Sus scrofa: one gene and its partner. The protein of the gene in region 1 purifies or fractionates together with the protein of each later gene. This does not show direct contact. Links are inferred from orthologs where the notes say so. Each region holds a gene or a part of one and is shown in the gene's direction. Other genes may lie near its edges.

Region 1 (4,352 bases):
GGGTCTTTTTTTTTTTTTTTTCTTTTTTCTTTTTAGGGGCGCACCTGTAGTGTATGCCAGTTCCCAGGCTAGGAGTCAAATGGGAGCTGCTGCTGCTTATGGATACTAGTTGGGTCTCCAGGAGGGCCTTAGGCCCCAGGGTAATGACTGGAGGGAGGGAGAGGGGCCTAGGGGTTTGGGTTCTGAAATCCCATGCAGCTAGATGGGGGTGGGGGCGCTCCCACTCCAGGGTACTGTCCCCACAGACCTGAATGTCTCTGCTTCAGAGTTCAACTGCCAACATCTCTAGCCCCAGCCCAGGGGCCCAGACCCCCACGCACACCTGGGACTCACCACATCCGCCTCAGGGGTGGGGGCGGGCTGAAGGGATGTGGATTCCCTTGCTCCCCCAGTCTTACTGCTCATCTCCAGGCTTGGGTCCCTGCGTCCAGGGCCCCTGCTGCAGGTCTAGGTGGGGCTGAGTGGGAGTGGCGGGGGAGGGCGGGGGAGGCAGATTCTGGTAGTTCTTCTCTCTCTTTCCCTTGGTGAGGCTCCTGAAATTCCCACAAGGCCTCAGGGAGAGCCCAGCAGCGTCAGCAGAGTTCCCCTTCAGAGCTGGCCTGTGACTTGGGGAAGTGCTTCACCCTTGGCCCCTGGAGTTTCCCTGGGCTTCAGAGGAGGAAGCCTTGCTCTACCAACTGGAAAGTCGTCACAGGCTCCCCTGCCCGCTCCAGGCCAAGGCCCTGGGGGTCCTCTTCATGCCATGCCAGGGTCTTGGGCTCAGAGGACAACGTTCTGGCCTAGCTTGGCCACTGAGCAGCTGCAAAACCCCTGGCTGGTCTCAGCCAGGAAATGGGGGGTGGGGGAATAGAGTCCCTCCCTACCAGGGTCTTTTAAGCAGAAGAGAAGAGGCACATCAAGACATGGTTCCCCATCCAGCAGTGTGGAAACCACCCGTGGCAACAGACAGATGTAAACTTTTGTTGTCACAGATTCCCAGGAGAAGGTAAATCCTGGGAGGGAGGAGGGAGAAGGGAGAGGAAGCGAAGCGAGGGGCACCACGGCCCCCTGAGGAGGGGGATGTGCATCTGAGAAGTCGAGAAGTCAGGTCAGAGGGTTAGGGCGCTCAGGAAGAGCCCTGGGGCGCCTAGGTGGGAAGGGGGCGTCTGGGGAAACACCCTCCGTGCTGGTCCCGGGCTTCCTCTCCCACCGCAGCGCCCCGCCCCCGTCCCAGTCCCCCAGCCCGCTCCAATCCTGGGCCCGCCCAGGCTGCACCCCGCGTGAGACGGCGGGGGCGGCGCGGGCGCCTTCCTGCTCTGCCCTTGTATGGTGACCCGGGAGGCCGGCCCACAGCTACTTAAGCCAGGGCACTGCAGTCAGAGCCCGGAACAGACGGTTCAGGCAGCGCGGCCGCCGCGAGAGCCCGGAGCGCGCACGGGGAGGGAGGAAGGAGAAGAGAGGGAGGAGGGGAGACGGACAACATGGGGCTGGAGGCGGCGCGCGAGCTGGACTGCGCGGCGCTGGGCGCGCTCCTGCGGGAGCCGCGGGAGGCCGAGCGCACGCTGCTGCTCGATTGCCGCCCCTTCTTGGCCTTCTGTCGCCGCCACGTGCGCACCGCACGGCCGGTGCCCTGGAACGCGCTGCTGCGGCGCCGCGCGAGCGGCTCGCCCGCCTCCGCCCTCGCCTGCCTGCTGCCCGACCGCGCGCTGCGGGCGCGCCTGGCCCGCGGGGAGCTGGCGCGGGCCGTGGTGCTGGATGAAGGCAGCGCCTCGGTGGCCGAGCTCCCGCCCGACGGTCCAGCCCACGCTCTGCTCGCCGCGCTCCTGCACGAGACCCGCGCCGGGCCCACCCTTGTGTACTTCCTGCCAGGTGAGTGCCGGCCGGCCAGCGTTCCCCGCCCTCGGCTGCCGCGTCCCCGAACCCCGACGGGCCCTCCCGGCTAACCGTGTCCTGATCCAACTTGCAGGAGGCTTCGATGGCTTCCAGGCCTGCTGCCCCGATCTGTGCTCTGAGTCCCCCGCCCTGCCAATGCTGCCCGAAAACAGCCGCCCCGACCCCAGGGCTCCCTTGTATGACCAGGTGAGTTGAGATCGGGGTTCCTTGTCAATGTCCCGCTGACCCCAAGGGTAGGCGCCTCTGGGGAAAGAGTCTGCCATTTGTGGGAGCAGGAGTTTGTCTATGCCCACAGTCACCTGTGTATGTGTGTCCTCACCCCTAAAGGGGAGAACACCTTTGTGTATGCCTTACTTGCTCGTGAGCATCTCGGAGAGTCTGTGTCTGTCCTATGAGCAGCGTAATTTGGGGGCTTGGGGGGAAATGTCTGTCTGTGAGTGTATATCTCTGCGTGTCCCCATGTCTGATTCCCGGTTAGGACTGGCTAAGGGTTTCTCTTCCCTGGCCGGTTTGCCACGGTGTCTATGCCCAACAACCACCCACCGCGGTGCTCCAGCCCTCTAGGCCAGAGCTGAGTTCTCACCGCTGCCTCTGCCTCTTCTTCTCCAGGGTGGCCCTGTGGAGATCTTGCCCTACCTGTTCCTGGGCAGCTGCAGCCACTCATCTGACCTGCAGGGGCTGCAGGCCTGTGGCATCACTGCGGTCCTCAATGTCTCGGCCAGCTGCCCCAACCACTTTGAGGGCCTGCTGCGCTACAAAAGCATCCCTGTGGAGGACAACCAGATGGTGGAGATCAGTGCCTGGTTCCAGGAGGCTATCGGCTTCATTGGTAAGAGGCAGGCCTTGGCGTGGGACCTAGCGGGGCTCCAGGGGCAGGAGCTGGGGCACCTGTCTCTTGCCCAGCCCACCTTCCTGTCTGACGCCCCTCTCTCCCATTTCCTTTGCAGATTCGGTGAAGAACAGTGGAGGCCGGGTGCTAGTACATTGCCAGGCAGGCATCTCACGCTCCGCCACCATCTGCCTGGCGTACCTGATACAGAACCGTCGAGTGCGTCTAGATGAGGCCTTTGACTTTGTTAAACAACGCAGGGGAGTCATCTCCCCCAACTTCAGTTTCATGGGGCAGCTGCTGCAGTTTGAGACTCAGGTGCTGTGTCACTGAGGCTGGGCGCCACCATGTTGGCTCCCCCAGGGCCCAGGAGCACAGGGCTACCTGATTCCTGGGGACAGCTGGGGCCCCAGTCCCCCACTGCACCCCCCACCTCAAGGAGAGCGGCCCCTTCCTTGGAGTTTGAAAAGCCCCAGGTGGAGGCGCTGGGGATACGGCAATGCTGGACTTTCTCACCTGGTGCTCTTCTGCTAGGGGTTTGAGGGCTGGCCCTCAGTCCTCATCCTGGAAGGAGAATGGAGGCTGTTCTGCTTCCCTCTTCCTCCGTCCTCTGGCAGAAATGAACTGGACTCTACACCCATGGATTCCCACTGGCCCCACCATGCCAGAGCCCTTGGAGGCCTGAGGGCTCCAAGGAATAAGCTGTGACAACCAGGAGCCCTGTCTGGGGTGGTCCACCCTGAGGCCTGGAGCCTGAGCCCTGCGCGGGGCTTGGGGAAGTAAGGCAGATGCCGTGTCTGGACCTCTTGGTTGCCTGTGTGTGTGTGTGTGTGTGTGTGTGTGTGAGTGTGAGTGTTTCACGCCTGTGTTGGCGCTGGAAAGTTATTTGTGTTCAACTGACATTTAACACTCCCTCCCCCACTTCCTCCCAGCCCTGTGGGCTGGGTTGGAAACTTAGCACTTTATATTTATATGGAACATTGAAGATGTGTCAATAAAATATTGTTTTGTTTAAGAAACAACTTCTCCAGTGTCTGGTCTCCAATTGGTGCCTGGGAAAGTGCTCAAAAGCCGTTTCTCAATCAGACCTCACCTTCCTTTGTGCGGAAAATGGAAGGAGGAAGGCACAGAGTGACCTCACCTCCTTGCCCTGGTCCCCTTGGGGCTGGTGTCTTTTCTCAGGCAGCCTTCTGTCTCTAGAGCTGAAAGCCGTGGTTTCTTGGGAGGCTGGCTCCGGCCTTATTCCAGTTTCCACCTTTGGTCCTATGGGACAAGATTGTGTGTACCCTTCAGAGCTGGATCCAGCACTGCCCTGGGCAGACCTACTTACTTTCTGGATTGTTTGTGTGAGTGTGAGTGCGTGCGTGTGCGTCCATGCATGTGCGTCCATGCATGCATGTGAGTGCGAGTGCAGCCGTCTGTGACAGCTTCTGTGGGTGTGGTTGTGTGTTCTTGACCTGCACACACCCATGTCTCTGTGTGTGCCTGTTGGGTGTGGCTCCCCTGGGCTGTGTGTACCTGTGCCCACAGCAGGGCAACATAGCCTCTTACCTCCCACTTTCCCAGGCTGGGCCCCCAGGCCTCAGAATGCCCTCCCTGCCAGGGCTCATGGCAGCCCCTGATCCAAAGCTTCCTGTCCCCAGAGAACATT
Region 2 (3,804 bases), on another chromosome or scaffold:
GTATTTTTTGAACAATACTTTCTAGGTTTTGTTAAAGACCACATAGACATCTTGATAAAATTTCTGGGGGTGGGGGTTGGTAAGACAACATCATTTTGCAGGTAAGACAAAATTGCTGTAAGCAATCAATATGTCCTCTTGGGTCCCCTTTCTTTTTGGAGAGGGTGGCCTCGCTCACGGCATGTGGAAGTTCTGGGGCCAGGGATCAAACCTGCGCACAGGGAGTTCCCGTCGTGGAGCAGTGATTAACGAGTCCGACTAGGAACCATAAGGTTTCGGGTTCGATCCCTGGCCTTGCTCAGTGGGTTAAGGATCTGGCATTGCCGTGAGCTGTGGTATAGGTTGCAGACGCGGCTCGGATCCTGTGTTGCTGTGGCTCTGGTGTAGGCTGGTAGCTACGGCTCCGATTCGACCCCTAGCCTGGGAACCTCCATATGCCATGGGAGCAGCCCTAGAAAAGGCAAAAAGACAAAAAAAAACGAAAAACAAAAACAAAACCTGAGCCACAGTAGTGACCATGCCAGATCCTTAACCCCACTGTACCACCAGGGAACAATCCCCCTTTTCATTAAAATATAGTTGACTAAATAGTACTTAGTTTTTGGTGTACAGAATAATGATGGGGCGGGGGGTGTTTGTCTTCGTCTTTTTAGGGTTGAACCCATGGCATATGGAGGTTTCCGGGCAAGGGGTCGCTGGCCTGTGCAACAGCCATAGCAATGCCAGATCCAGGCTGTGTCTATGACCTACACCTACACCATACTCACATCAATGCTGGATCCTTAATCCACTGAGAGAGGCCAGGATCGAACCTGGGTCCTCATGGATACTAGTCACATTCATTTCCACTGAGCCATGATGGGAACTCCTGATTTAGTATTTTTATAGGTTATATATTCTGTTAAAAGTTTTCCAAGATAATGGCTATAATTCCCTGTGCTATGCAGTAGATCCCTGTTGCCCTCTTGGGTCCATTTTTGTTAGGGGTGAAGATGTAGTTGATGGTCATTGGAATATTTCTGCTGAGTCAGTGGAATCTGATACAGTAGTAGGAAGCTGTTATGGAGGCAGAAACGATTCCTCTCACCGGAATGCAGCTGCTGTTAAAAACAGTGGGAAAAATGGGGGGGGGGAATCCACCCATATTCCTGGGGTTTTGAAAATGGGCAACCAGGAGTTACCTGGTGGCTCAGTGGGTTAAGGATCTGTTGTCACTGCAGTGGCTCTGGTCACAGCTGTGGCAGGTTCAGTCCCTGGCCCAGCAACTTGCGCATGCTGCAGGTATGGCCAAAGAAAGAAAGAAATTTGGTGTCCATACAGTTTCCAGGGCCAGGCCCTCTGGTGGTTCTGAGATACATAGTGTGTACTGTGGCATCCTGCTATGTCCTCCCTCACTTAGGGCCTCTTTGTGGGTGATATGCATTCTGCCTTCATGCATGTGAAACAAGTATTTGCCCAGAGTTCTAAGCAGAATACTTCACTTTGTGTTCTTTCTGCCAGGGTGTTCTGAGAACTGTTTTTAATGCCATCTCCCCTCTTTTTCAGCTCTGCTTATGATAATGTCAACAAAGTTCGAGTAGCTATCAAGAAAATCAGTCCATTTGAGCATCAGACCTACTGCCAGAGAACCCTGAGGGAGATAAAAATCTTACTGCGCTTTAGACACGAGAACATCATTGGAATCAATGATATCATTCGAGCACCAACCATCGAGCAGATGAAAGATGTGTATCCTTTTCAGGCTGTGGACTCCACTGCTCCATCACCTGGTTGAGTACACATCAAGTCTTCCACTTATCGTGGTGGAAGAAAAGTAGTCAAACATGTTTAAGGGGAAACTCTGCTCTGCTTGCCACTTACTATAACACTTGCATCATTTACTTTTTTTTTTTTCCTTGCTTCTTCCACAGCATGTGGAAGTTCCTGGGTCAGGGATCAAACCCATGCCAAGCAGCAATCCAAGTTGCAGCAGTGACAAAGCTGGGTCCTTAGCCCTCTGAACCACAAGAGAACTCCCACATCATTTACTTTTTTTCTCTGATTCATTTTATTAGTAGCTTTAGCATATTTTTTGCTGTTTATTCTATATTTTCTCAGTTTCAGTAAAGATTTCTCTAAGTGTAGTTATGGAAAATGTTGGTTAACACCTTTTCCAGTCATGATACTTCTTTTCAAGGTATGGTTTGTTGTGGTGAAAGAGCAGTAGACTAAAAGAAGGGGCCCTGTATAGCACCTGGTCAGGTCGAGATTGTCCTGATCTCAGTGTCATTTTACTTCTGGGTCCAGTTTTCTCATGTTAAAACTGAGGTACAGCCTTCATGATCTTCAAGGCTATCTCAGGTCTGAAGTTGTCATTAATTGTGACAAACGTTTAGAAATCTGGACTCAGGAGGTCCAGAGGATACTTTCTGAGTAAGGACTGCATGTGAAAGATAGAAGTGTTAAGTGTGCTCGGAGTTCCCATCGTGGCACAGTGGTTAATGAATCCAACTAGGAACCATGAGGTTCAGTGGGTTAAGGATCTGGTGTTGCCATGAGCTGTGGTGTGGGTCGCAGATGTGGCTCGAATCCCGCATTGCTGTGGCTCTGGCGTAGGCTAGCAGCACCAGCTCTGATTAGACCCCAGCATGGGAACCTCCATATGCCACGGGAGCGGCTCAAGAAAAGGCAAAAAGACAAAAAAAAAAAAAAAAAAAGAAGAAGTGTTAAGTGTGCTGGAGGAGGATCTGCCAGGAGAAAGGGTTCTGGCCAGTGCAGCATTCCTGCCAGCTTGCCCACTGTGCAGTCCGCCCCTCCAGGGAGAGGCAGTGCGCTGTCTCTAGGCAGTCTTTCCATTTTTAAACAGTTCTGTTACTAAGTTGTGATATTTTAAGTGAAATGCCTCCTTCTGCCGCCTGTTGTCCTGCTTTACCTTTTGCCTTGAAAATCAGGTCTTTTTTAGATGACTAGTTTTTAAGTCATGTTTCTTCAAATCCCATACTGTGTCTCATCTAGCATGAATCTCTAGGAGACGTATAGTATTTACAGAGAAATGAATAAAAGAAATGCAGGAAGACTTCACAGAACCTCAGGAGGAAGCAGCTACTCAGGACTCCTTCCATTAAGCTCTACTCAGTTTCCATCAGTTTCTCATTTCCCTTCTGGGCCTCATGATGTAATAATGGACCATTTGGATTCTTTCTGTTTTCAGTGCTTTGCTAGTGTAACTAGCTCTTTTGGTTGTGTTACCTTAATCTTTCCAAACAGATACATAGTACAGGACCTCATGGAAACAGATCTCTACAAGCTCTTGAAGACGCAGCACCTCAGCAACGACCATATCTGCTATTTTCTTTACCAGATCCTCAGAGGGTTAAAATATATCCATTCAGCTAACGTACTGCACCGTGACCTCAAACCTTCCAACCTGCTGCTCAACACCACCTGCGATCTCAAGGTCAGCCAGCTTATTTACTCTTAGGGTGATATTTATTGGACAAAACTCGTTTTGCTGGAGAATGTTTATTTATATATAATTTTTTATTTTATTTTTCTTTTCAGGGCCACAGATATCATGAAAGAATGTAGATTCATTCTAATAAAAATGCACTTGAATTTAAGAGGACCTAGATAAATGAAATGACATTCCATGTTCATGGATTGGAAGACTTAATATTGTTAAGATGGCAGTGTTTTCAAATTTGATCTACTGATGTAGTGGAATCCCTATCAAAGCCCCAGGTGGCTTCTTTTGCAAAAATGGACAGGCTGATCCTGAAGTGCAATAGAAATTCAAGAGACCCAGAGTAGCTAAGACAATTTTAT

What was found.
Region 2: the proteins of DUSP2 (region 1) and MAPK1 purify together in Homo sapiens (affinity purification with mass spectrometry; 4 studies listed by BioGRID and IntAct, with this or other methods). This does not show direct contact. The link is inferred for Sus scrofa from reciprocal best matches to the Homo sapiens genes DUSP2 and MAPK1.

Annotation. Positions count from the first base shown.
Region 1 is NC_010445.4:47,051,094-47,055,445, forward strand, and holds DUSP2 (dual specificity protein phosphatase 2), read left to right. Parts: upstream 1-1,349; 5' UTR 1,350-1,460; coding exon 1,461-1,848; intron 1,849-1,945; coding exon 1,946-2,058; intron 2,059-2,481; coding exon 2,482-2,701; intron 2,702-2,819; coding exon 2,820-3,034; 3' UTR 3,035-3,723; downstream 3,724-4,352. UniProt on the Homo sapiens protein: Dephosphorylates both phosphorylated Thr and Tyr residues in MAPK1, and dephosphorylation of phosphotyrosine is slightly faster than that of phosphothreonine. Can dephosphorylate MAPK1.
Region 2 is NC_010456.5:50,138,388-50,142,191, forward strand, and holds part of MAPK1 (mitogen-activated protein kinase 1), read left to right. Parts: intron 1-1,545; coding exon 1,546-1,728; intron 1,729-3,246; coding exon 3,247-3,436; intron 3,437-3,804. UniProt on the Homo sapiens protein: Serine/threonine kinase which acts as an essential component of the MAP kinase signal transduction pathway. MAPK1/ERK2 and MAPK3/ERK1 are the 2 MAPKs which play an important role in the MAPK/ERK cascade.